7 linked regions of the Ovis aries genome follow. The main gene of each other region encodes a partner of the protein of the gene in region 6 in a complex. Links are inferred from orthologs where the notes say so. Each region holds a gene or a part of one and is shown on either strand. Other genes may lie near its edges. The genes, in order: DPF1, PHF10, SMARCD2, ARID1A, ACTL6B, SMARCC2 and PBRM1.

Region 1 (3,500 bases), on a different chromosome or scaffold from region 6:
ATATGTGCCTGAATGGATGTGTCCTGGTGTATCTTTATCTGTTCCTATATTGTATCCACTCCTTGGCTCGAGGCCCGCTTGAGTCCCGGGTTGGGGGCTCCTGGGTCCCGACCGGAGGGGAGAGGTGAGGTTGGAGGAATCGGCCCACCCATTCCCGACGGGTGGGCTGGGGGAGGGGTGCTGGGCGACCGGGTGCTCCTGCCCTTGCTGACAGCCGCCCGCCCGCTTACCCGCCCCTCGCAGCCTAGGCGAGGACTTCTACCGCGAGGCCATCGAGCACTGCCGCAGCTACAACGCGCGCCTGTGCGCCGAGCGCAGCCTGCGCCTGCCCTTCCTCGACTCGCAGACCGGCGTGGCCCAGAACAACTGCTACATCTGGATGGAGAAGACCCACCGCGGCCCGGGTACCGGCCGGGAGGGCGGGGGTGGGGCGGGGTGGCGGCTTCCCAGCCGCGTTCTTACCGCCCTTCTTACTCCAGGTTTGGCCCCCGGACAGATCTATACGTACCCGGCCCGCTGTTGGAGAAAGAAACGGAGGCTCAACATCCTGGAAGACCCCAGACTCCGGCCCTGCGAGTACAAGATCGGTAGGTGGGGCTCCGTCCTGTGCCTGGGGTGGCCCCGGTGGGTGCCCACACCACTGGCTGATCAGCGTGTTGATGCCCTTGTGCCTCTGAGCATCTGCCTTTATCACCCTCCCGGCCCACGTCTGAGTGACGGGCTGTGTATGCTGGTGTGTGTCTGGGGGTAGTACAGACACTCTCCAGTTTTCCCCGAGTATTTTGAACTGCGTCTTCTACTTGGACCCAGGGGTATTCCTGGGCAGAGCGTGGTATCTGTTTTGCGTGTCCAGGTGTATCCCATCCTTGTATATCTCTTCCCTTGTGAGTTGGGATGTATCAGAGTATCTGCCTGTTCTTTCCTGTGGATGTCTGAGTGTGTGTCTGGGTGTGTCAGAGTGTCTGGTTGTAACTTTTTCCATTTGTAGTACAGCGTGTCTTGGTGTCTGTGTCTCTTTTCAGGTGTTTCCAGGCTTATTTCCTCTTAAGTGTGTCTGGTCTATCTGTTCCTGAGTGTCTCTCTTCCTTTGAGTACCAGATGCTCTGGAATGTCTGGGAGAGTCTCGTCCCTGAGTGTCTGTTTGGAGTGTCAGGTGTGTTTCTGCCCGTGTCTGCTGCGCCATGAGTGCCTGGCTTTATCACGTCTCAAATGTGTCCAGCACTGATAGAGTCACTGGCTGTTTCTCTTCCCTTGCTCAGGTATAACCAAGGATCTGTGTAGGTCCAGGCAGGTGTACTGGCGTGTCCATCTGGCTCTGTCTTCCTGGGTGTGTCTGATTGTCCCAGAGGGACTGTCTGTATCACCTGTGTGTATGAGTATCCATCTGAGTGATTCTCTGGTGTCTCTCCCCTAAGTATGTTCAGGTGTTTGGTAGGGTTTGGTTGTGTTTTCCCCATGTGGTCTGGGTTTATCTGATGGTCTAATGTTCTCTTTTGGAGTGTCTCTGAGTGTGCCCAAGGGTTTGGCTATGTCTCCTCCGTGAGTCTGGGTGTATCTGAGTGTCTGGGTGTACCTCTTCCCTTGTGTTTCTGGCTGTCTCAGATGATCTGTCTGTATCTCCCTTGTGTATGTCCATGTATGTCCTGTTTGAATGTCTCTTCTCTCCAGTTGTGGGGGTCTGGGTGGGGTCTCCTACTTGTATTATGTAGTTATATAGGAGGGTCCAGCCATGTTTCTCCTGAGTATGTCCAATGGTCTCTGATGGTCTGACTGTGTCTTCTCCAGGGTCTGGGCATCCTTAGGATGTGTGGAAGTAATGAGGGTGGTATGGATGGTTGAGTATTTGAGTCTGTTGCTGGTTGAGTGTGGGAAAGCCTCTTTCCTCCAGAAAAGAGCATGATTCCCCAACCTGGGCAGTCTGAGGAGTCCTCCAGGGACAAGTTCTTCACCTGACCCCCCTTCTACCTACCGTGGTCTTGTCCCCAGACTGTGAAGCGCCACTGAAGAAGGAGGGTGGCCTCCCCGAGGGGCCAGTCCTTGAGGCTCTCCTGTGTGCCGAGACAGGGGAGAAGAAGATAGAGCTGAAGGAGGAGGAGACCATTATGGACTGTCAGGTAGGACTGCCCAGCCCCCCACCCATCCAGGGGCTGTGGCTGCCCTCTCAACCGGCCTGTGTCCTGGCCCATCTTGCTCCTGCTCTGAAATCTCCCCTGATTCCCTAGGACCTTTGAGCATCCTGTCTCCATCCCTCCACACTTCATCTCTTTTTGGGAAGACCTCCTAACTTGCCCTGCCACCCCTGATCTTTGCTGTGTCCAGAACTACCTCCCAAAGCAGAACAATACCCCGTTTCTTGACCCCAGTCTCCCTTCTCCTGGTGCCCAGAAACAGCAACTGTTGGAGTTTCCGCATGATCTTGAAGTGGAAGACCCAGAGGATGACATGCCCAGGAGGAAGAACAGGGCCAAAGGAAAGGTATTACTCCCAAACCTCCCCCCATCACCCTTCCCCTCAAGGCAGGTTCCATTGATTGCTTATGCAGTGTTCAGACCCTGCCCCAATTTTACCTTATTTAACTCTCAGAGCAGCTTGAAGGGGTAGGGGATTTTTATACCCATTTTATAGATGAGGAAATTGAGACTTGGGCATATTAAGCCATTTGCAAAACAGAGATTGTACAGGGGGTTAGAGCTATCTTCCTACACGTGGCACAGATGAGAAAATGGAACCTCTGAGAGGTCAAGAGAGTTACTCTAGACTCACAGCTAGGAAGTGGCAGAGCTGTGATTGGGCTTTCAAGTCCAAATGGTGAAAATTCTTTTAGTTCCTTCCCTTTCTTGGCCCCTCACTCCTGACTTTCCCCTCAGGCATACGGCATCGGGGGGCTCCGGAAACGCCAGGACACCGCTTCCCTGGAGGACCGAGACAAGCCGTATGTCTGTGATAGTGAGTCCTTCTGAAGAGGGGGGAAGAGAGAGAGAGAGAGTGGGACCCAGAGACCTTGCCCCCCACTGGCCCCCTTCCCTCCCGTTCTGGACCCTGGCAGAGGGGGGGAGGTGTGATCCTGGAGGCCAGGGTGGAGGCGGCAGGGGCTGGAGGGCTGACCGGCCCTCCCTGCTCACTCTCCAGTCTGTGGGAAACGGTATAAGAATCGGCCAGGGCTCAGCTACCACTACACCCACACCCACCTGGCTGAGGAGGAGGGGGAGGAGAACGCCGAACGCCACGCCCTGCCCTTCCACCGGAAAAACAACCATAAACGTGAGCAGGCGGGCAGGGCGTGGGGTGGTGAGGGGCCCTGGGAGTGGGGGCTAAGGAGCCTGGGAGGGAGGGGGCACATTAGGCATTTCTGGAAAATCTCCAGCTCAGCGGTCCCCTCCCCCCACCAACCATGGGGATGCTGGCTCTGGGGTTGCCATGGCAACCAACCATCTCTCCCTCTCTCCCGGCCGGGCGTAATATTTCTGGGTCTGATTTATTGTTTCAATTAGAGCTTGGGG
Region 2 (3,500 bases), on a different chromosome or scaffold from region 6:
ATTAGATTATTATTGAGCTCCTAAGTTTGGAACATGCGAAATATTTAGGTTGGTGCAAACGTAAATGCAATTTTGGACCATGAATTTTAAGTCGTTATGAGTAGACTCAGACACATCTTTATTAATCAAATCAGGAACCATTACAAGCAGCACATTTTTATCAGTAAGAAGTAAGTCTGTTTCTCTGGGTAGACCCCGTGCTTCAGGCTCGACGAGCTCTCGGAAAGCCTTTTCTGCCTCCTGCTGCTTGTGGAACGGTTTTCCCTGCAAAAAGTTGTCAAGGTGCCTGGAGACGTGGTGGTTGGCTGGTGAGGTCAGGTGAACGTGACAGATGAGGCAAAACTCGCAGCCCCATTTCCAGCTTTCGCAGGGCTGGGTGTGCGACGAGCGGTTGGACATTGCCCTGGAGGAGACCCGGGCCTTTGTGTCGCCTGCGCCGCTGCAGGCATTGTGGTTTCACTGCGTCTCATCGATTTGCTGAGCATACTTCTTGGATGTAACAGTTTCGCTGGGACTCCGAAAACTGCAGTGGATTAGACCAGCCGCAGGCCACCAACAGTGACCATTGCCTTCTTTGTGATGCACTGTCGGCTTCGGGGAGCGCTGCGGTCAGCTGGCTGTCGCTGTCCTGTAAAATCCACTTTTTGTGGCTCATCACAATCCGATCGAGAAATGATTCATTATTGCGCAAAGATAGGAGAAGACGACGCCAAAACGGTGCTTTTTTATTTGCGGTCAGCTCATGAGGCGCCCACTTATCAAGGTTTGTCGCCTTTCCAACTTGGTTCATCTTAGGACGTGAGGGTTGGACCGTAAAGAAGGCTGGGCACCAAAGAATTGATGCTTTTGAACTGCGGTGTTGGAGAAGACTCTTGAAAGTCCCTGGGACTGCAAGGAGATCCAACCAGTCCACCCTAAAGGAGATCAGTCCTGAGTGTTCATTGGAAGGACTGATGCTGAAGCTGAAGCTCCAATACTGTGGCCACCTGATGCGAAGAGCTGACTCCCTGGAAAAGACCCTGATGCTCGGAAGATTGAAGGCAGGAGGAGAAGGGGACGGCAGAGGATGAGATGGTTGGATGGCATCACCGACTCGATGGACATGAGTTTGAGCAGGCCCTGGGAGTTGGTGAGGGACAGGGAGGCCTGGCGCGCTGCAGTTAGAAGGAGTCGGACACGACTGAGCAGCTGAGCCGAGCGGAGCTGCGTCTGCTTCAGATGCCGGTGACGGTGGAGTGGCCGGCGCTGCTCCTCGGCAGCTTCCTGCGTAGTGAAGACTGCGTGGGAGGCTGGGCTCCGACGACGGCTCCCGGCTGGTGGCCGTCAGCTTCCTGTGGCTGGCCACTGCGCTGCTCACCTCCAGAGCTCTCGTCTCCTTTGCAGACTTCTTGGACCACCACTGCACTGTGTGTTCGTCCGCAGTTCCTGGGCCAAACCTGTTGTTGGTGTTGAGTTTTCTCCTCTGCTTTATGACCCATTTTGGACTCAAATAAGAAAATCACTCGAGTTTGGTTTTGTTTAAAATTATTTCCGCAGTCTTAAGTGTTAGTTGCTCAGTTGTGTCCGACTCTTTGCAACCCCATGAACTATAGCTGTCCAGGCGCCTCTCTCCATGGGATACTCCAGGCGAGAGTGCTAGAGTGGGTTCCCATGCCCTTCTCCAGGGCGTCTTCCTAACCCAGGGATCAAACCCAGGTCTCCTGTATTGCAGGAGATGATGATTTACTGTTTGAGCCACCAGGGAAACCCATAGTCTAAAATATTTGTATTATTTTATATTCTAGAATAAATATAAACAGTAAGTAATGTTGTTAGCAAAAAAACATAAAGAAGTGAACGTTAAAACGATGTGCGACATAACCACATTTATTTAAGAATGCACTCCAATATCAAAGGCAAATTTCAACGATTCGGTTACTTTTGTACCAACCTGATATGTCTGATACTGTTGTAAATACTTGGCGATAACTGGCTTTGCATAGTTTAATATTATGAAGACACGATTCTGGGCTTGAGCTTCTTTAATGACCTTTATTACTTAGTAAAAATGCCCACTCTTACTTCAAGCAGTTTTTTTAAAGAATATTGTTGTGTGAAACAAGTATGCTCCCTTGTGACATCGTAAAATGGTGTTGAAGCTATGTGGTGTACTAATAACTGAAGTAATGGTTATGTTCTTGTCAAATTCAGTCAGAAAACAAAGTCAGTTAAGGTACTATCTCATATAAATGGAATTAGGTATAATGTATTTATATGATGGAGAAATGATTCTTAACATGACTTATCTTACTCTCCGCTGGAAGTGTTTTCTTAGATCGGAATTATCTTATTTTGAAATTGATGGAACTTTAAAACTTTTTTTGGATGTTTTCTGTAGTTTTCAGAATTCAGACTCAAATCTGCATGAATCCAAGGGACCTGTGTTTGTGCCTTTGACTTGCAGGACAGCTCCTCTGGCAACGTGTCCGAGGGGGAAGGCCTTCCCGAAGGCCAGGAGGAGCCTTTGCAAGGAAGACAGAGGCCCAAGGACAAGGCTGCCCCTCCACGCAAAGATGCTTCCAAACGCTCTGTACTGTCCAAGTCAGTTCCTGGGTACAAGGTAGAAGAAAAAAGCCCCTGACTCAGCTTCCTTCTGACCAGCCTCTCTCCCTGAGACACTCTGCCTCTGAGTTTCAGAGTTGCGGTGCCCCTGCTGCTGCCCGTCCTCGCTCCCCTCCCGCGGGGTGTGCCCTCTGCCAGCCTTCTTCTCGCTCTGTTTTCCTGGTGGCTTTTCCGTCACTTGGGCTCTGGGTCAGCGTCTGTTTCCTGTATATGTGAGACTGGCAAGGGAATCGTTTTTTATGTACTAACTAGGCAAGTATGAGTCTCTGAAAAGTGATCTAATAGGCAGAGCTGAATACTTTGTTTTCTCAGTGTAAAAATCATCGTTGTCTGACTCGGAAAGCTTCCTGGTATTTAGCAGCACCGAGCAGTGCACTGGGGAGGAAGTCCTCATAGAAAAGTTGCGTTTCTGTGGTGCCTTTCATTAATGATCTGGGTTCAGTCTGAGAATTATCTGATCCATTTGCCAAATTCAGCTAACTCTGCGATGGAAAGTAGTAAAATGTGGTGCTTTCGTAGCCTCACCGTGGTGAGTAGCCTGTGCAGTTCTGTGAGAAGGATTCACACATCATCTGGCAAGGTGACTTGGCTTAGCAATAACTTACTAGCTTTTTGATCGAGTTATTCTCAGTCGGGTAGCATACTGTCAGCAATAGTATTACTTTCAGCGTTTCTTTCTGCTGGCTGCCCCTTCTCCTTCAGAGGGTTGGGTGAGAGGTGAGCAGCCTCGTTCATATGTGGGGGTTTAAGATCGTCGCGAAAGGAGCAGCATTAGCTGCAGGGTTGCGCTTTGAATGGTGATAGTAAAATGCACAGGTTCAGTCTGGTGGGTGTCAGTCTGCTTTTTATGGGCTTATGAAGGTGTTTTGAAGGAGCGTTTTAGAGTAAGATGATCAAAA
Region 3 (3,373 bases), on a different chromosome or scaffold from region 6:
CCCGGGGGATCAACCTGAGAAAAATTGCTGAGCTCATGCCGGGAGCGTCAGGGGCTGAAGTGAAGGTAACAGGAGTGCCCAAGGGAAAGGGGGCAGAGGCAGGAAGCACTGGGTTCAGGGCACAGCGGCATCTCCCCCTTCTTTCCCTGCTCAGGGCGTGTGCACCGAGGCTGGCATGTATGCACTGCGGGAGCGCCGAGTGCACGTCACGCAGGAGGACTTCGAGATGGCAGTAGCTAAGGTACAGGGCCACGCCTTTCTGCCTTTGCTGGTGGTGACTCGAGCAGTGGGGTCGGGCACGTGTTCACTGGGTCTCTAACTCAAATGTTCTCTCTCCAGGTCATGCAAAAGGACAGTGAGAAAAACATGTCCATCAAGAAACTATGGAAGTGAGGCAGACGTCCTTTGTGTGGATCCCTCAAATAAAGCTCTACCGGTCAGGACCTTGAGGACTCGAGTCTGTTAATCAGCAGCTGCACTGTTCAATCACCAGGTCTAGGTACCACCAATAAACAAAGATTTATTTGGAAATTTCCAAACCTGCCAGAAGTGGCGTTTGCCAAGCCCTCGGCCCACCCTCCTTAACAGGCTCCAAAGAGCAACAATAGTCCTCCCCATCTCCCACTGCCCTCCACCGAGCACACACACACCCACGCCTCAGGCCACGCCAGAGAATTAGGGTGCCCTCTCCCTAGGAGGCGTTACCCTGGGCCCAAGAACTGGGGTGACAGCCCTCTGGCATCGCAGGAGATGATGGCGGCCAGAGCCGCTTGCATAGATTGAGAAAAGAAAATAAGGGACCCCCCAAGTAGGGCTCCCTGAAAACCCCCAACACACCCCCATAAAAAAAGTGGCTCCCGCATAGAAAATCCTGCTCCACAAATAGTGCAAATAACCCGAAGGAAAGGAAATTACCAGCAGCAAGGCTGGGCTGGTAGGAATGGCAAAGAACTTTGGTTTGGAAAGGCTAGGAAGAAAGGGAGCCATGCTCCTCTTCCTCACCCCGCTCCCTGGAGCCAGCGTGGACACTCGCCCCAAGGGGGTCTGTAAACAAGCAAAGCCAGGGGCCTCTGGTTCCAAAAGGTCTCGGTTAAAATGTCAAAGCAGAGCCTCCAGGTCCTTCTCAGGCCTGCCTGCAGGGGGCACAGGAGGCCTCTCGTGAACCCAGTTAAAGCCAATGTGTAAGTAAGAAGGCTTTGGAGGACCAAGCAACAAGGAATCCTATCACTACACTTAAGAAACTAAAGCCGGGGAGCCGAGGGTAACTGGAGATGCCCCTCACCCCCTCGTTATCCTACGTGTCTGCGCCCCAGAGGGTGGTCCCCTTCCAGGCTGAGGGCGTGGCTCCAGGCTGGGAAGAAAGGAAGGGGTCCCTGAGCAGTTAGGTCAGGCGGATTCCCAGCACCTGTTCCAGTTCCTGCCTTCGCTGCTGCACCTGGAGCAGGGACAGACCAGCGGCTCAGGCCCGGCTGCCCACCCTGCCCTCCGGTATGCCCTCCAGGCCAGCCAGGGCAGAGCCGCCTCACCTTGGCAAAGATGTGCCTCCCTACTGCTTCCTGGGCCCAGGGCTGGTGGTAGAAAGCTGCTCGTCTCTCCTCCTCCGGGTTCCCAGTCACATCAGTGATGATCTGTAGAGCACCAGGAGCAGAGCTGAACGCAATTCCCACCCCTGAGCCAGAAGAACGGTGCTGGGGACAGAACCCCCAGAGCTTAACGTGGGATCACCCTCAGGAAAAAGGGGCACACCTTGAGGTCCCGGCGCTGGGAACGGAGCCACTCCTGGATGAAGTCCTGGGGGTCAGTGCTAAAACTGAGCATGAAATCCCTCTGGGTCTTCAGCTGGTTGATGGACTCAATAGTCTCGTGGATCTGGGCAAAGGGGTACGTGTCAGACTGGCTCCCACCCCGACAAGGTCTGCTTCCAGCCCCAACCCGAAAGGACTCAGGTCCCATCCCAAGGTGCTATATAAATGGAAATGCCCGACACCTGCCCATGCTCACTGGGGGCCCAGAGGAGGTTGGGGCCCACCTTGACATCAAGGGAGGCGATCTCCTGCTGATTGGTGGTAGAGGCCAGAAAATTGCTCATCTGGGCCTTGAGCGGGTCATCCACCTCCACGTCAATGTCGTAACAGGCTGTCTTCTTCTGGTCGTTAGGGTCCACGCTACACGGCACACGGGAGAGAGCTACTTCCCTCCCGCCCGCCCGGGGCAAGACCACACACACCCAGGGAGCAAGAAACCAAACGTGCTGCTTTGCTTTGGCTTTAATTGAAGTCAAAGGCAAACCCCTGAGAGCAGCGTTCCTCCCCCTTCCCGTTTACCTGATGACGTGGTTGATGACAATCGGGTCTGGATGCTGCAGCAACCCTGCCAGCTTCATGGGAATCTCAGAGAAACGTAGTCGGCCACAGCTGAAGATCTGGGGAGGGCGCCAGAGGGTCGGTGACGCCCTGGTGGGCACATGGGGAAGTGGCCCGTCCCGGGGCGGTGTGGCGCCACAGGCAAGGCGGGCGGGGGCTGGAAGGGGAGGGGGCGGTGTGCCCGCTTACCTGGCGGAAGTAGCGGTTGCAGTTGATGTACTCGCGCTCGTGGCCGTCCTGCAGCTGGTTGTGTTTGATGTAGAGCCACAGGGCCTGCATGATGGCAGCCCTCGTCTGCGTGTGCACCCCCAGCAGCCTCGCCAGGCGGGGGTCCAGCTTGTACTGTGGGGGCTGGCATGGACAGACGGGAGTCAGAGGAGGGAAAAAAAAACCCAAAGCAGGCTAGGGCAGGGACAGGAAGGGTTTCCAATGGGCACCTGCCCCCGCCCCAGATGACAGTCCCCGTGAGCCCAGACGTGGCCTCAGGGCACTCGTCACCTGATGATCCAGCATGAGCAGGAGGGTGCACTTGACGTTCAGGTCTCCAGGCCGTTTCACCTGGAAGCCGTCTGTCTCCTGGGTGGTGGGCATCCGGTGCCACTGGCAGGAGGAAGGGGAGTCAAGCTCATCACCAAAGGGGCGGGCAACATACGCACCTGGCCCTGCAAGGGGACTGAGGCCATTCCTCTGCCCGCCGGGCACGGCACCCTGTGGTCCCAAGCCCCAGGCCCGCTCTCACCTCTACCAGGTGGTTGTCTGGCCCATACAGTTCCTTGTCCAGCTCGATGACGAGGCTCTTAAAGAAGGAAGAAAACTTCCGCTTCTGTTTACTAGGCTGGGGATGTAAAGGGGGTGAGACAGGGGTGCCATTGAAGGTTCAAGCCTAAGCCACATACTAAGCCCCGAACAGAGGAATATTGTTTCAGTCCTAAAGCTCAGGGTACTGAGGATTCTCAGGCCCTGAAAGAAGCAGGGAAAAGTGAGACCTGAGGCACAGAAAGGGTCCCTAG
Region 4 (3,941 bases), on a different chromosome or scaffold from region 6:
TCTCCCATTCAGCATCTCTTAGAATGTAACAGTAAACTTTAATGATTCCTTACAATGAAGGATAGAAAAACAAATTTAGGCTGCATCTGTTTTCTGAGTGAGGTGTTAGACTGCACCTTTTCTCTCTTTTTAAGGAGAAAACGGTTCCCTCTACTTGGTCATCCCTCTTCGGCAGAGGTTCCTTTGAACACTCAGGTTCCACCAGTCCCTGGAGTCTCTTCTGTGGTCTGTTACAGTCTTACAGGTACTGTCTTTGGAGACGGGACCTTGGTCATTGTGGGCAAAGGTGGGGCTTGTGTCTTCCTCCAAGAAGGCGGTCATATGTCCCCAAAATATCTTCAGGGGTGACCATTTTATATCGGTTGAGATGACCAGCTTGAATCTCAAACCCATTCTGATGTTCTGATCCCACTGTTGTATATGGCACCACTTTTCTTTTTATTACTATTATTTCTAACGCTAAGTAGACAGGGGCAGCACTGGGGACTCTGCTACTTTTTAAAGTCACCCTCCACTGCCCTTGTCTTTGTAAGTGATAGACTAAGTGATAGGCCGGTCCCCTTCGCTATCTTATGAGTCTGTAAAATGGGGATCAGGAACTTCGTGCCCCCAGGGCCTGTGAGGACCGGCTAATGAGGGCAGAGAGTGGGAAAACGGAAAGTCTGAAACAATGATCTGTCATTCCATGCAGCTTGCAAAGAGGATACAACGTAAAGCTCAGCTGGGTCTTTGGAGCAGGTCTGCAAAAGGCTTTGAAGAAGGAAAAGTGCCGCGGAGATGCTAAGTAGCGGCCAAGAGACCAGGCCCGCTGCCAGGGGGGGTCAGGCCTGGGCCGAGGCGGCCGCGGTCTCGGGCTCAGGCCAATTTTGCAGCCGCGAGTAAAGTTCACGCTGCCCGCGGCGCGAAGGGGACCGACCTGGATAGGGAGGCCAGGAGGGAGGCGGCGCGCAGGCTCCGGAGAGGCGCGAGCTCCGGGCCGGGTTTTCCCCGAAGCCTTCGGCGGCGGCGCTGCCGAGCGAGAGCGGCAGAGCGCTTGCCGCCGCCGCCGCCGCCGCCGCGGCTGGTTCTCTCCCCTCCTCCTTTGTGAGGGGAAGGGAGCGAGTCCGTTCCACGGCCTGCGCCCCGCTCCGCGCTCCGTTCCGGGTTTGCCAGGCGGCCGCGACGGCGCTGGGTAAAATGGCAGTGCTGAGCCTCGTGTCGGAGTGAGGGGGACTCGGAGGAGAGTGGGGCGCTCTAGCCGCTCAGTCCGGCCGCCCGCCCGCTCGCCCGCTCGCCGCCGCGCAGCAGCCTCGGCCCGGCGCCGCGGCCGGGGAGGGGAGGCAGGGCGCCCGGCCCGGCCCACGCTCCGACTCTGCCTGCCGGCGCCCGGGCTGCTGCCGCGCGCCCTCCAGCCCGCCCGTCCCGGGTCCCCCTCCCCCCGCTCCCTCCCTCCCTCCCCGCCCCCTCCCCCTCGCCTCCCTCCCTCCCCTCCCTCCCTCCCTCCTTTCTCCGGCAGCAGAAAGCGGAGAGTCACAGCGGGGCCAGGCCCTGGGGAGCGGAGCCTCCACCGCCCCCCTCATTCCCAGGCAAGGGCTTGGGGGGGAATGAGCCGGGAGAGCCGGGTCCCGAGCTTACAGAGCCGGGAGCAGCTGAGCCGCCGGCGCCTCGGCCGCCGCCGCCGCCTCCTCCTCCTCCGCCGCCGCCGCCAGCCCGGAGCCTGAGCCGGCGGGGCGGGGGGGAGAGGAGCGAGCGAGCGAGCGAGCGAGCGAGCGCAGCGCAAAAGCCGCGGAGCCCCGCGAGGCCCGCCCGGGCGGGTGGGGAGGGAAGCCCGGGGGGACTCGGCCCCGGGGCGGGGTGGGGTGGGAGGGGGGTGAGAGAAGACGAAGACAGGGCCGGGTCTCTCCGCGGACGAGACAGCGGGGATCATGGCCGCGCAGGTCGCCCCCGCCGCCGCCAGCAGCCTGGGCAATCCGCCGCCGCCGCCCTCGGAGCTGAAGAAAGCGGAGCAGCAGCAGCAGCAGCAGCGGGAGGAGGCGGGGGGCGAGGCGGCGGCGGCGGTCGCGGCGGAGCGCGGGGAAATGAAGGCAGCCGCCGGGCAGGAAAGCGAGGGCCCCGCCGTGGGGCCGCCGCAGCCACTGGGAAAGGAGCTGCAGGACGGGGCCGAGAGCAATGGGGGTGGCGGCGGCGGCGGAGCCGGCGGGCCCGGCGCGGAGCCGGACCTGAAGAACTCGAACGGGAACGCGGGCCCTAGGCCCGCCCTGAACAATAACCTCACGGAGCCGCCCGGCGGCGGTGGCGGCGGCAGCAGCGACGGGGTGGGGGCGCCTCCTCACTCAGCCGCGGCCGCCTTGCCGCCCCCAGCCTACGGCTTCGGGCAACCCTACGGCCGGAGCCCGTCTGCCGTCGCCGCCGCCGCGGCCGCCGTCTTCCACCAACAACATGGCGGACAACAAAGCCCTGGCCTGGCAGCGCTGCAGAGCGGCGGCGGCGGCGGGGGCCTGGAGCCCTACGCGGGGCCCCAGCAGAACTCGCACGACCACGGCTTCCCCAACCACCAGTACAACTCCTACTACCCCAACCGCAGCGCCTACCCCCCGCCCCCCCAGGCCTACGCGCTGAGCTCCCCGAGAGGTGGCACTCCGGGCTCCGGCGCGGCGGCGGCGGCGGCCGCCGGCTCCAAGCCGCCTCCCTCCTCCAGCGCCTCCGCCTCCTCGTCGTCTTCGTCCTTCGCTCAGCAGCGCTTCGGGGCCATGGGGGGAGGCGGCCCCTCAGCGGCCGCAGGGGGAACCCCCCAGCCCACCGCCACCCCCACCCTCAACCAACTGCTCACGTCGCCCAGCTCGGCCCGGGGCTACCAGGGCTACCCCGGGGGCGACTACGGCGGCGGGCCCCAGGACGGGGGCGCCGGCAAGGGCCCGGCGGACATGGCCTCTCAGTGCTGGGGGGCTGCTGCTGCTGCGGCGGCGGCGGCCGCGGCCGCCTCGGGAGGGGCCCAACAAAGGAGCCACCACGCGCCCATGAGCCCTGGGAGCAGCGGCGGCGGGGGGCAGCCGCTCGCCCGGACCCCGCAGGTAACACGGCTGGTGGGGTAGGGGGGGCTGTGGCGAGTGGGGCGGGGGGGTCCTGGGAGTGGATGGCGGCGGCGGGGAGCGGGCCACGGCCGTGGGCTACCCCCAGTCTGGGGCCCCCACTGCTGGGGAGCTGCCATTGTCTCGCTCTTTCTCTCTTAAAATGGCTGCCCGTCTGCCTTCCTCTCTTTCCCTCCTTCAGCCTTTGTGTGGGGCTTTCCTTGAGGTGTCTGCTCCCCTCCTCCTCCTCCCCGGGTCCCTTCCAGCTCCGGGGGGTCTTCAGAGGGGTGCGGAGCCGGGTGTGCGGGAAAAGGGCCCGGCCCGGGGTGAGGGGGTGTTGGGGGCTCAGGTTAGGGGTGTAGGCAGCCCTCGGAGGTCGGGAGTTGAGTGAACAGTTCTTTGCTCACCTGCCGCTCCTCTCTGCCCTCCCTACCTTCCTCTAGGCCGGTCCCCATCTGTGCTTTCAAGGAGGGGGCCCCTCGGGCTCGGGGGGACCTCGAGGGAGGGCAGGGGCCTGCTTGGGAGCAGCTAGAGCCCGGCTTCGGTTCACCCTGGGCAGCCCAGGTCGTCTCCTGTCTTAGTCTCCGTCGGCCCAGTGGCCTGGGCTTCTCCCTGGAAGTGCTGGTAAACAGCTGAGTGATTGGAGTAGTAAGTGCAGATTGCTTTGGTTTGGGATTTGAATTATGGAGGTAAAATCCTTCTGTCAAAGCCAGGAGACAGTTGGTCTTAGGTTGACATCCTATCTGTGATCTGATTGGCTCCCCATCTCCTGCTCTTGGCCATTTATAATTGCCTCTGATGTAATGGTACAACAATCCTGATGAGCTCATAAACTTTTACACTCTGCTTTTCTGCCAGTGATAACCCAAACCATCGCTGCCACTATCTGCCTTT
Region 5 (3,500 bases), on a different chromosome or scaffold from region 6:
ACCTTTCTCCACAGGGCCTGTCGGGGAACACCATGTTAGGGGTGGGCCACGTGGTGACCACCAGCATCGGCATGTGCGACATTGACATTCGTCCGGTGAGGCCCAAGCCTGCCTCTGGGTGGAGGGGTCCAGGAGAAGTGGGGGCGTGGGTGCCAGGGCGGGGCTGTGCCCTGATCGCTCACTCTTCCTCCCTGCTCTCAGGGCCTCTACGGCAGTGTCATTGTCACCGGTGGGAACACGCTCCTGCAGGGCTTCACTGACAGGCTCAATCGAGAGCTTTCCCAGAAGACTCCACCGGTAGGAGCCCACCCTCGGCCAGGGCCCTGGGCCAGCCCCTCAGCACCAAGTCCTTCCTCCTTCCCACACATTGAGCCAGTATTCTGGCCACCAAAGCGGCTCCTTCCCGCTATGGCCTCGCCACTCCGAGCCCTGTCCCTTCCCACTTCCCAGAACCAGGTGTCTGCTTCCCCTAGCCCTTCTTTCTTCCCAGAGCATGAGGCTGAAGCTCATCGCCAGCAACAGCACCATGGAGCGCAAGTTCAGCCCCTGGATTGGGGGCTCCATCCTGGCCTCACTGGTGAGAGAGGAGGGCCCTGGCCTAGTGCTGAATGTGGGGTAGATCCAGACCGCCCCACCACCTTGCCTACCACCTCATTCGCTCATTGTTTATGAAAGGGCAGTCAGTGCTCCCAGAAAGGTGAATGCGATCTCAGGACACAAAGCAGGGAGTGGAGGACAGGAAGCTGGACAGGTTGGCTAGGATGAGATTGTGGTAGTCTGTGTGCCAGGGTGAGCCCCTAGAGGTTTGGGGCAAGGGGATCTGATGGCCACAGGCATGACTGGGAAGGTTATGTCCGACATGAGACTTTGGGGATGGGGGTATGAGCTGAATTCAAGGGGACCTTGGCGGGAGGCTCTTTCTATTGTCCTAGAGTCACGGGATGGGTAGCAGTGGGCATAGGGTGGTGAGCAAGGGACAAACCGAAGGCAGCAGTCAGGGTGGTTCTGTGGTGGTAGGTGGGGAATTCAGTCTGGAGCAGCTGCTGGGGCAGGGGCAAGACGTTGAGCAGAGAGGTAAAGATGCAGACTGCATCTGATGAGTGTCAGCTACACAGAGGGGGACAGCAGGGTCATGACAGGACAAGGATGATATCAGCTAGAGGCGGTGCCCCCAAAGGGACAGAAGCAAGGGTCAGAGTGACAGAAGACTGACCCCCCGAAGATAGCTCAGGGTTGCGAAAGTGTCAGTTGCACAGTCGTGGCAAGCCTCCTGCACGCCTGGACAGACAGCCCGACCTCATCCCTGCCTTCGTGCATGGGGACAGTCTGGAAGCCAAGACAGTCAAAGAGGAGGTCACCACAAAGTGTGGGGTGTTCCTTCAAAGGAAGACCTGATCTCATTCAGGCATCAGGAGGGGCCTCTAAGGAACCTTCAGGCTGAGATGGAAGAGTGAGAACTCAGGAGGCAAAGCAGGAGAGCGTGTGTGGCCCCAGGGGAGAGCCAGGCAAGGCCACAGGCAGGGGGTAGGTGCTGTGGGGCCAGAGTTGAGGAAGCTCACCTGGGCTTCCCTGGTGGCACAGATGGCAAAGAATCTGCCTGCAATGCGGGAGACCTAGGTTTGATCCCTGTGTTGGTAAGATCCCCTGGTGGAGAGCGTGGCAACCCATTCAAGTATTCTTGTCTGGAGAATCCCCGTGGACAGGGGAGCCTGGAAGGCTACAGTCCATGGAGTCACACAGAGTCAGACACGACTCAGCGACTAAGCACACAAGCTGGGCTACAGAGCAGAGAGTGGGCTGGAGAGGGCTACCGCGGTCTCCACTGTGACCCGGGGTCGCCAGCAGAGTGGATGTAGGGGAGAGAGGGTTGGGAGCTTATCAGAGGTCTGACTGAGAATGTGGGCACCGTTTGGATACGAGAGGTAAGAAGGAAAGGGGTCAAGGATGAGACCCAGGTAAAGAATCTGCCTGCAGTGCAGGAGACCCGGATTCGGTCCCTGGGTTGGGAAGATCCCCTGGAGAAGGAAATGGCGCCCCACTCCAGTATCCTTGCCTGGACAATCTCATGGACAGAGGAGCCTGGTGGGCTGCAGTCCATGGGTTTGCAAAGAGTCGGACATGATAGAGCGCCTAACACACTTACTTATTCAAAGTACTATCAGTACGTCAATTAGTATAAAATGTGAGACGTTTCACATCCTCTGGATTTATTTTCAATATCCAGTGCAGATTTGACACCGAGAGCACATTTCATCTTGGATTAGCTGCATTTCACGTGCTCGATAGCTCCATTTCAAGTGTTCCACGTGGCAAGGGGCCACTGGATTTGGACAGGGCAACTGTAGAAGGCGAGAAAGACCAAAGAAGCAGGTTTGAGGCAGGGCTGGGCGAAGATGGTGACAGCAGTCATGGATATGTTGACTGAGTGAGGTTCCAGGAGACACTGAGGACCAGGAAGCTGTCTGAAAGACAGTTGAGAATTTGGGTCGGGAACTCGGCAGGGAGCTCTGCATTGGAAACTGGAGATGATGGGAAGGGTGGGGCTTTGGCACAGTAAGCAGAAGTCAAGGGAGAGGTGACATGGTCCAGGAAGGTGTGTCCAGAAACAGGGACACACACACTGACTTTCAGGCAGACGCAAGTGATCATAGAGATGGCACAGTCTAAAGTGCCAGGGCTGGCGGACCCTATTTCAACAGGGGGTGGGGGGGTGGGGTGGGGTGCCAAAATAAAGACATCATCCCCACCTTGATGTTAGGTGGTGTCAGAATGGTGAGGAGGGTGGAGGAAAGATTTTTCTTGGGAAGGAGGGAGACTTGGCATGTAAGGCCTGATGGAGTGACGGGGTATCTGGTGGAGAGGGGATATGGAGTGTTGCAGCGCAGGTTCGCTGGCCTGCGGCTGGAAGGTCCACCTCCCAGCTCGAACCGCCCTGGGCTCCGAACTGACAGGTGCTCAGTAAATACTCAGTGAATGCATCGTTGATTGAACGGTATGAAGCGGGTATCCGCCTTCTGAATACGAAGGAGGGGACAGGGAGATGGGGCAAGTTGGTGGTTGCGGGGGGGTGGGGGGATGTGGGCTTGGGAGGGGGAAGATTCCGAACCTCCACGGGTGGAGCATAGGGAACCTGCTCTCCCTCCCTCCTGGCCTCCCTGACCGCCCTCCCGCCCCACCCACCCAGGGCACTTTCCAGCAAATGTGGATCTCCAAGCAGGAATATGAGGAGGGCGGGAAACAGTGCGTGGAGCGGAAGTGCCCCTGAGGGCGCCCCCTCCCCACCCACAGGCCGGCCCGCAGCGGTGGGGGAGGGAAAGCGAACGGAAGAAGACGGTTTCCCCCACCTCGGCTCTGCAAGCGCAGGATCGACAGCCACCCTCCTAACGTTCCCATCGGCCCCCTTTTGTTCTCCTCCCCACTTGTCCTCTTGATTGTGAAGTTTCTGGGTTAAAGGGAGTAAACATGTTTTAAGAAAAAAAAAAAAAGTTTGGCCTCTTTGG
Region 6 (3,500 bases):
AAGTGAGGTTGTGTCTCCACCACCACCACCAGGCACTGGAAATGTACAAAGATGACTGGAACAAAGTGTCAGAGCACGTGGGAAGCCGCACACAGGATGAATGCATCTTGCATTTTCTCCGGCTTCCCATCGAAGACCCGTACCTGGAGGACTCAGAGGCCTCCCTGGGCCCCCTGGCCTACCAGCCCATCCCCTTCAGCCAGTCAGGCAACCCCGTGATGAGCACCGTTGCCTTCTTGGCCTCTGTCGTCGACCCTCGAGTGGCCTCAGCTGCTGCGAAGTCAGCCCTAGGTAACGCGCAGGGCTCCCATCCCTCTTGGTTTGCATTTGAAAGGCTGGGTACTCTGACTGTGGAACCCCCTCAAGTTCACTGCCCTACTGGCCTTGTCTGCGGCTGGCATCAGCCCAGGCAACGGTCCAGCTCCACGCAGGCAGAGATGAAGAGCTGGGTTTGTGAGGGAGCTCTCACAGAGAGTGCCAGAACTGCCTACCTGCCTGCTCCCAGCCTCCCCCTCTCTGGGTCTTACAGAAGAGTTCTCCAAAATGAAGGAAGAGGTACCCACAGCTTTGGTGGAGGCCCACGTTAGGAAAGTGGAAGAAGCCGCCAAAGTGACAGGCAAGGCAGACCCAGCCTTTGGTCTGGAAAGCAGTGGCATCGCAGGGACCACCTCCGATGAGCCGGAGAGGATCGGTAAGGCTTGCCGTGTTCCCCAATTCCTCCCTTTTTACCAGCAGCCTCAGCCGCCTGGCCTCCCCATACCATCCCTGCCTCCACCTGACCTCAGAGCATGAGACGGATGGGGTGAGTTGGTGGGGTGTTCATTTTCCTCAGGGCTTTACTTTAGGTACCGTGGCTCCCCACTGGTCCTCTCAGTAAGATCTTGGCTAGAAGGGGCAGTTGGAAGAGTGTTGTAGACCAACTGTCAGACATCTCCTGTTTCCTCTTCCCCTGGACCCAGAGGAGAGCGGGACTGATGAGGCACGGGCGGAGGGCCAGGCCACAGAGGATAAGAAGGAACCCAAGGTACAGCGGGATTGACACGGGCTGGGAAGGCAAAGGGGTCCAGCGTGGACCAGGGAAGGGGAGCCGGCTCCACTGAGCTTGGGCAGGCGAGGGCTGGGCTTGGATGGGGCTCGCAGCCTGGATCCAGGCCCTCTCCCAGATAAGAGGTGTAAACTCAGCTCCTGGTCTGGGCCCGCTGTGTGCGAACCAGCACCCTGACACTCCCCTTTTTCCTTTCCCTGGGACTCCAGGAACCTCGAGAAGGAGTTGGGACTGTGGAGGAAGAAGCAAAGGAGAAGACCAGTGAGGCACCCAAGAAGGACGATGAGAAAGGGAAAGATGGCGACAGCGAGAAGGAGTCAGAAAAGAGTGACGGAGACCCGACAGGTGAGCCTCACGTGGTGGTTGGGGTTCAGAAAGGAAGCCAGGCTCTAGGGCTCACGACCCTTTTCCTGGCCCAGCGGATCCTGAGAAGGAGAAGGAGCCCAAGGAAGGGCAGGAGGAGGTGCTGAACGAAGTGGTGGAGTCAGAGGGGGAGAGGAAGACGAAGGTGGAGCGCGACATTGGCGAGGGCAACCTCTCCACCGCCGCCGCCGCCGCCCTGGCTGCTGCCGCCGTGAAGGCCAAGGTAAGGCCTCAGCCCCAGGGAAGGAGGTGCTGCTCCTCATCGCACGGTACCTGGAGGGAAGCCTGCCTTGTCATCCTTACCCAGTGCTGGCCTGTCTCCTGTCCCCTTTGGATCCTGAGAGGAACGCTTGGTCACCTCTTACCTCTTTTAAGCCTTTATCATTAGGCCTGTCTCGCAGTTTATTTATTTATTTGGCTGCACTGGGTCTCCGTTGCAGCATGTGGGCTTCTCTCGTTGCAGAGCGCAGGCTCCAGAGCGAGAGGGCTTCAGTAATTGCAGCTCACGGGCTCTGGTTATGGCAGTTGGGGCACGTGGGCTTAGTTGCCCCACGGCCTACGGGATCTTAATTCCCTGACCAGGGATCGAACCCACTTCCTCTGCGCTGGAAGGTGGATTCTTAACCACCAGACCACCAGGGAAGTCCTGATTGGGCCTGTTTCCACCCTCTCAATTATTTGACCTTTCCTTATCCTTTGATATCCTCTCTTTTTTCATGTTCTTTTAAAAACACCACTCAAGCCTGCGCTACTCTCTGGGTTGTGACCACAGCAAGTTCTGTCTTAAAGCCTGTCAGCCCCCACACCACCCTTCTCTGTTGCCCAGTGTCTTCAGCTGGGTCCTCGCACTGATGGCCACCCCACCCTTCCTTCCTTAGCACTTGGCTGCCGTTGAGGAGAGGAAGATCAAATCTCTGGTGGCCCTGCTGGTAGAGACCCAGATGAAAAAGTTGGAAATCAAACTCCGGCACTTTGAGGAGCTAGAGACGATCATGGACCGGGAGCGAGAAGCAGTGAGTCGAGTCCCCTGGCGGTTGGCGGGGCCCCACCTTGGCAGTGGGCTGGGCCGCAGTTTAGGGCAAGGAGAGCAGCAATACAGAGAACCTGAGGCTGACAGTATCACAGCAGAGCAGACCAGCCCAGACCAGGGCAGGAGGAGCCAGCCTGGGCGGTTAGGGACAAGTGACCCACAGGTACAGCCTGGAGACTGAGGTCCCACAGAATGTCAGCCCCAGGGTCAAGTTTGCCACATCTCCAGGTCCTTAAAGGGTGCTTAGTCCACGGTAGACTTGGCTGTGGAGTGATTGTTGAGTGATTAAACAGGTTTAAGGCATGATGAGAGGGTAAGGGCTTCAGAGCCAGGGGTTAAAGTTGGAAAGGGAACAGGATGGACATGGTGTCGACTCATTTTGATTCTTAGAAGATATAAAAGTAGAAGATAAGGACTCTGATCCTGAACTCCTCAATTGAAGATATCAGATATCCAATATGGAGACGTCAAAGTTGGCTAATGCTTCAAGCATCTGACAAATGAAAATTGAGAGATTTCCAATCAAGCATAAAAATCCTGAGTGAGAGCAGAATAAAGGCCAAAGTTCAGAGGCTAGTGAGGTGATCTGGGAGGGCTTCCTAAGAATTGTGAGTTTTTCTTCAGTTTTGAAGGAGGGAAAGAACATGATTTGACTAGAGGAACTTGGTTGGTTGGTGGGGTAGGGGTTGGTTTCCAGATGAAAGTAATGACAAATTCAAAGCTTTGGAGCTGAAAATGAACAAAGGCTACCACCAGATTAAGTCCACTTGTCCACTGCAGTGAGAAGCCATGTGGGCAGCCAGAAGACCTGGTGGGGGGAACTGGAGAGGGGAGGGGAGGCGAGAACAGCGGAAGCCAAGCACAAGGCTGAGGTTTGGTGTGGGGATCGCCAGAATGGGAGGCTGGGCTTGTCAGAAGACAAAGCAGGGGGCAAGGTGTGTGCCTTTGGGGTCTCCAGCCCCCGGGTGACAGCTCTCCGTCGGCCCGGGCAGCTGGAGTACCAGAGGCAGCAGCTCTTGGCCGACAGGCAAGCCTTCCACATGGAGCAGCTGAAGTACGCAG
Region 7 (3,500 bases), on a different chromosome or scaffold from region 6:
ATCAGACGGCCAAAGTATTGGAGCTTCAGCATCAGTCCTTTCAATTAATATTTAGGGTTGATTTCCTTTAGCATTGTTTGGTTTGATCTCCTTCCAGTCCAAAGGACTCTCAAGACTCTTCTCCAGCATCACAGTTTGAAGACATTAGTTCTTCAGCGCTCAGCTTGCTTTATGGTCCAACTTTGACATCCATGCATAGCTACTGGATAAACCATAGCTTCGACTATATAGATCTTTGTTGGCAAAGTGACGTCTTTGCTTTTTAATACACTGGTTAGGTTTGTTTTAGCTTTCCTTACAAGGATTAAGCATCTTTTAATTTCATGGCTGCAGTCATCCATGGTGATTTTCGAGCCCAAGAAAATAAAATCTGTCACTGCTACCACTTTTTCCCCATCAATTTGCCATGAGTGATGGGACCAGATGCCATGATCTTAGTTTTTTGAATGGTGACTTATAAGCCCACTGTTTCACTCTTGTCTTTCATCCTCATCAAGATTCTCTTTAGTTTCTCTTCACTCTCTGCCATTAGAGTGGTATCATCTGCATATCTGAGGTTGTTGATATTTCTCCTGGCAATCTTAATTCCAGCTTTATGATATAGAAGCCATTAAAAAATATGCTTTAGCAAAACTAAAAATCTTGAAAAGCATTTGATCTCAGAGGAAATTTTTATGATATTAAGTGTATAAAGATATAGTATCTGGGCTTCTCGGATAGCTCAGACAGTAAAGAATCTGCCTGCATTGCAGGAGGCACAGGTTTGATCCCTGGAGAAGGAAATGGCAACCCACTCCAGTATTCTTGCCTGGACAATTCCACGGACAGAGGAGACTGGCAGGCTACAGTCCATGGGGTCGCAAAGAGTCAGTCACGACTGAGTGACTAATACTTTTCATATATAGTTTACAGTATGTTGAATGAAATTCATGTCTCGTTAGTTCTAAGATTCCATTCATTGTGACATAACCATGTAATAACAGGAGAAAGAAATTTCAGTGGTATTAAGATGGCAAGAAAGTACATACAAGATTATCTCTAGAATCACATGACTTATGAGTGGCCTGTTTTCTTCTTTATACCTTCCTGTATCATCCAAAATGACTACAATGAGCATATATTATTATGGTGATTATTTTTATTCTGTAGATACTTTATGTATGTATTTAAATTAGTGGCAATTGGTTGTAATTTAAAAAGACAGTTTTGAGTAGAGACTGTTGGGAATGTGGATATCATACTATTTGTCCTGAATCCTGCCTTGGAGTATCTGGAAAAGGATTAAATGTATTAGTATGTGTAGTTTTAATCCTGCATCTGATTGCCACATCCCTTTCATGAGAACATTTTTCTCTTTTTTACCTAAGAAGCTGAAAAGAGTGAAGATTCCTCAGGAGCTGCAGGCCTCTCAGGCTTACATCGCACATACAGCCAGGACTGCAGCTTTAAGAACAGCATGTACCATGTTGGAGATTACGTCTATGTGGAGCCCTCAGAGGTCAATCTACAACCTCATATCGTCTGTATTGAGAGGCTGTGGGAAGATTCTGCTGGTAAGTTCATTTTAAATTGGGGAGCAAATTGGTGAGATGTGATTATTTTACTCCTTGTTTCTCAGGGAAGGAAATTGTAACTCAGACATTTTATGCCTTTCCACAGTAGTAGTTTTACACTCTTAATAAGTACAATTCACTGCCCACTATATGAGGAACATAGGATTGAGCACTGTTGGGCAGTGGCATAGCTGAGTCAAAAGAAACACAACTTCTTGAAGTCTAGATGAGATTCATTCATTCAACTGATGCTTATTAAAAAAATCCGAGAGCCAAACCCTGTAGGATGGCCAAGAATCAGAAGAACGAAAGGTCTATGTTTTGTCCCTGGCAAAACCCCTCTGGTAAAAGTCACAAATAAAGAAGAAATTGTTATAGAGAGACATGTGGCTTAGAATTTGGCCTAGAATTTGATTTCAAAAAGGCTTCCTAGAACAGTTGGCTTTAACTTGAAACAGAGAATGAATAGGAGTTAATGAAGCCAAAACCAAGGAGAAGTGTGATCCAGACAATCCACTTATTTCAGCTGTTCATCATATAAAATACCTTAGTATTCTTTAACCCAAGTGCTACATATGTCCTTTAGTATATCTTACATCCTTATTAAAGCACACAGCTTTAGCTGTGTCCTGACTCAGCAGAGTAGAGTAGGTCCCATCCCCTTCCTTGTTCTATTTATTTTACATCTTTTACTATAAGGGGGAAAGTAGCATTTGTAGGTGTCATTGCACTTTAGTATTTTTAGTATTATTTCTTCTAAGGTAATTCTGTTAAGGAACCATGGCCTAAAAGCACATTGCTCGGTTCAGCCCATGGCAGAATGGATGGAGTCTTTGCTCATTTTACAAAGAATATGTTATTTCCATTAATGGTAATTCTCCCTCTTTTTCCCTGTTTGTTTTTGAGGTGAAAAATGGTTATATGGCTGTTGGTTTTATCGGCCAAATGAAACATTCCATTTGGCTACACGGAAATTTCTAGAAAAAGAAGTTTTTAAGAGTGACTATTACAATAAAGTTCCTGTTAGTAAAATTCTAGGAAAATGTGTGGTCATGTTTGTCAAGGTAAGAAATTTATTAATCCCCAAACAGTAAATTATTTCATGGAGTTTACATGGAGTTTCACAACCACAGAAAATTGATATTTACAAAATGAATAGCTCTGTTTAAAACTGTTTGAATTTTTTTAGGCTGTGTCTCTGGCTTTATGTAAAGATTTGAGGAAAAATAAATCTGAGCATAAAAGTGAAAGACCTTTTGCTGCCTATGCTATATAGCTGTATGCAGTTAGCTTAAATTTTTTTATATCGCCAGACAAATTTTTAAAGATGATATTTTCTGAAGAATCATTAAATCTTCAGTGTGGTTCTATGGTGTACTTTTTGTTTGTCTGTCTACTATAGGCACAGGCTCAAAGCTTTAAAGAACTGGCTGTCTAAAATACTAATGTACTGTCATAGAGGCAGTTGGTAAAACTTCAGGTCAGTTCAGTCGCTCAGTCATGTCCGACTCTTTGCAACCCCGTGGACTGCAGCGTGCCAGGCCTCCCTGTTCATCAGGGAGGTAAACTAAATAAGCTAAATAGAATATACTGAGCAATGCCATTCTATACAAGGAAATACTCCTAATCTCTAACCATTTACCATTTGTTGTTAGTTGTCAAAAAGTCTTAACACTTTAGCTTTTATTTCTTTGCTTGGTTGGTGTTTTTGTGTTTTTTGGTTGATTGGTTTTCAGAAAATTCACCTACTTGATTTTATTCTTATATCCACCAGGAATACTTTAAATTATGCCCAGAAAATTTTCGAGATGAGGATGTTTTTGTCTGTGAATCACGATATTCTGCCAAAACCAAATCTTTTAAGAAAATTAAACTGTGGACCATGCCCATCAGCTCGGTTAGGTTTGTCCCTCGAGATGTGCCCTTGCCTGTGGTCCGAGTGGCCTC

Evidence for each region.
Region 1: SMARCC2 (region 6) and DPF1 share a complex: the UniProt entries of both Homo sapiens proteins name them as parts of the neuron-specific chromatin remodeling complex. The link is inferred for Ovis aries from reciprocal best matches to the Homo sapiens genes SMARCC2 and DPF1.
Region 2: SMARCC2 (region 6) and PHF10 share a complex: the UniProt entries of both Homo sapiens proteins name them as parts of the neural progenitors-specific chromatin remodeling complex. The link is inferred for Ovis aries from reciprocal best matches to the Homo sapiens genes SMARCC2 and PHF10.
Region 3: SMARCC2 (region 6) and SMARCD2 share a complex: the UniProt entries of both Homo sapiens proteins name them as parts of the BAF complex. The link is inferred for Ovis aries from reciprocal best matches to the Homo sapiens genes SMARCC2 and SMARCD2.
Region 4: SMARCC2 (region 6) and ARID1A share a complex: the UniProt entries of both Homo sapiens proteins name them as parts of the neuron-specific chromatin remodeling complex. The link is inferred for Ovis aries from reciprocal best matches to the Homo sapiens genes SMARCC2 and ARID1A.
Region 5: SMARCC2 (region 6) and ACTL6B share a complex: the UniProt entries of both Homo sapiens proteins name them as parts of the BAF complex. The link is inferred for Ovis aries from reciprocal best matches to the Homo sapiens genes SMARCC2 and ACTL6B.
Region 7: SMARCC2 (region 6) and PBRM1 share a complex: the UniProt entries of both Homo sapiens proteins name them as parts of the SWI/SNF-B (PBAF) chromatin remodeling complex. The link is inferred for Ovis aries from reciprocal best matches to the Homo sapiens genes SMARCC2 and PBRM1.

Annotation. Positions count from the first base shown.
Region 1 is NC_056067.1:47,409,509-47,413,008, reverse strand, and holds part of DPF1 (zinc finger protein neuro-d4), read left to right. Parts: intron 1-243; coding exon 244-404; intron 405-479; coding exon 480-587; intron 588-1,986; coding exon 1,987-2,114; intron 2,115-2,385; coding exon 2,386-2,475; intron 2,476-2,867; coding exon 2,868-2,946; intron 2,947-3,129; coding exon 3,130-3,261; intron 3,262-3,500. UniProt on the Homo sapiens protein: May have an important role in developing neurons by participating in regulation of cell survival, possibly as a neurospecific transcription factor. Belongs to the neuron-specific chromatin remodeling complex (nBAF complex).
Region 2 is NC_056061.1:91,171,691-91,175,190, reverse strand, and holds part of PHF10 (PHD finger protein 10), read left to right. Parts: intron 1-2,443; coding exon 2,444-2,599; intron 2,600-3,500. UniProt on the Homo sapiens protein: Involved in transcription activity regulation by chromatin remodeling. Belongs to the neural progenitors-specific chromatin remodeling complex (npBAF complex) and is required for the proliferation of neural progenitors.
Region 3 is NC_056064.1:47,807,701-47,811,073, forward strand, and holds the end of SMARCD2 (SWI/SNF-related matrix-associated actin-dependent regulator of chromatin subfamily D member 2), read right to left. Parts: intron 3,199-3,373; coding exon 3,103-3,198; intron 2,964-3,102; coding exon 2,862-2,963; intron 2,715-2,861; coding exon 2,553-2,714; intron 2,423-2,552; coding exon 2,325-2,422; intron 2,166-2,324; coding exon 2,030-2,165; intron 1,870-2,029; coding exon 1,747-1,869; intron 1,629-1,746; coding exon 1,527-1,628; intron 1,436-1,526; coding exon 1,382-1,435; 3' UTR 501-1,381; downstream 1-500. Other genes in the region: PSMC5 (26S proteasome regulatory subunit 8), read left to right, coding at 1-65, 155-241, 340-393. UniProt on the Homo sapiens protein: Involved in transcriptional activation and repression of select genes by chromatin remodeling (alteration of DNA-nucleosome topology).
Region 4 is NC_056055.1:240,201,273-240,205,213, reverse strand, and holds the start of ARID1A (AT-rich interactive domain-containing protein 1A), read left to right. Parts: upstream 1-1,141; 5' UTR 1,142-1,904; coding exon 1,905-3,050; intron 3,051-3,941. UniProt on the Homo sapiens protein: Involved in transcriptional activation and repression of select genes by chromatin remodeling (alteration of DNA-nucleosome topology).
Region 5 is NC_056077.1:36,361,508-36,365,007, forward strand, and holds the end of ACTL6B (actin-like protein 6B), read left to right. Parts: intron 1-14; coding exon 15-95; intron 96-201; coding exon 202-297; intron 298-490; coding exon 491-577; intron 578-2,190; exon of another isoform or gene 2,191-2,462; intron 2,463-3,184; coding exon of another isoform or gene 3,185-3,265; exon of another isoform or gene 3,266-3,288; coding exon 3,289-3,384; 3' UTR 3,385-3,398; downstream 3,399-3,500. UniProt on the Homo sapiens protein: Involved in transcriptional activation and repression of select genes by chromatin remodeling (alteration of DNA-nucleosome topology).
Region 6 is NC_056056.1:163,372,006-163,375,505, forward strand, and holds part of SMARCC2 (SWI/SNF complex subunit SMARCC2), read left to right. Parts: intron 1-32; coding exon 33-291; intron 292-529; coding exon 530-691; intron 692-959; coding exon 960-1,024; intron 1,025-1,254; coding exon 1,255-1,390; intron 1,391-1,464; coding exon 1,465-1,631; intron 1,632-2,286; coding exon 2,287-2,421; intron 2,422-3,430; coding exon 3,431-3,500. UniProt on the Homo sapiens protein: Involved in transcriptional activation and repression of select genes by chromatin remodeling (alteration of DNA-nucleosome topology).
Region 7 is NC_056072.1:48,331,430-48,334,929, forward strand, and holds part of PBRM1 (protein polybromo-1), read left to right. Parts: intron 1-1,367; coding exon 1,368-1,553; intron 1,554-2,459; coding exon 2,460-2,617; intron 2,618-3,327; coding exon 3,328-3,500. UniProt on the Homo sapiens protein: Involved in transcriptional activation and repression of select genes by chromatin remodeling (alteration of DNA-nucleosome topology). Required for the stability of the SWI/SNF chromatin remodeling complex SWI/SNF-B (PBAF).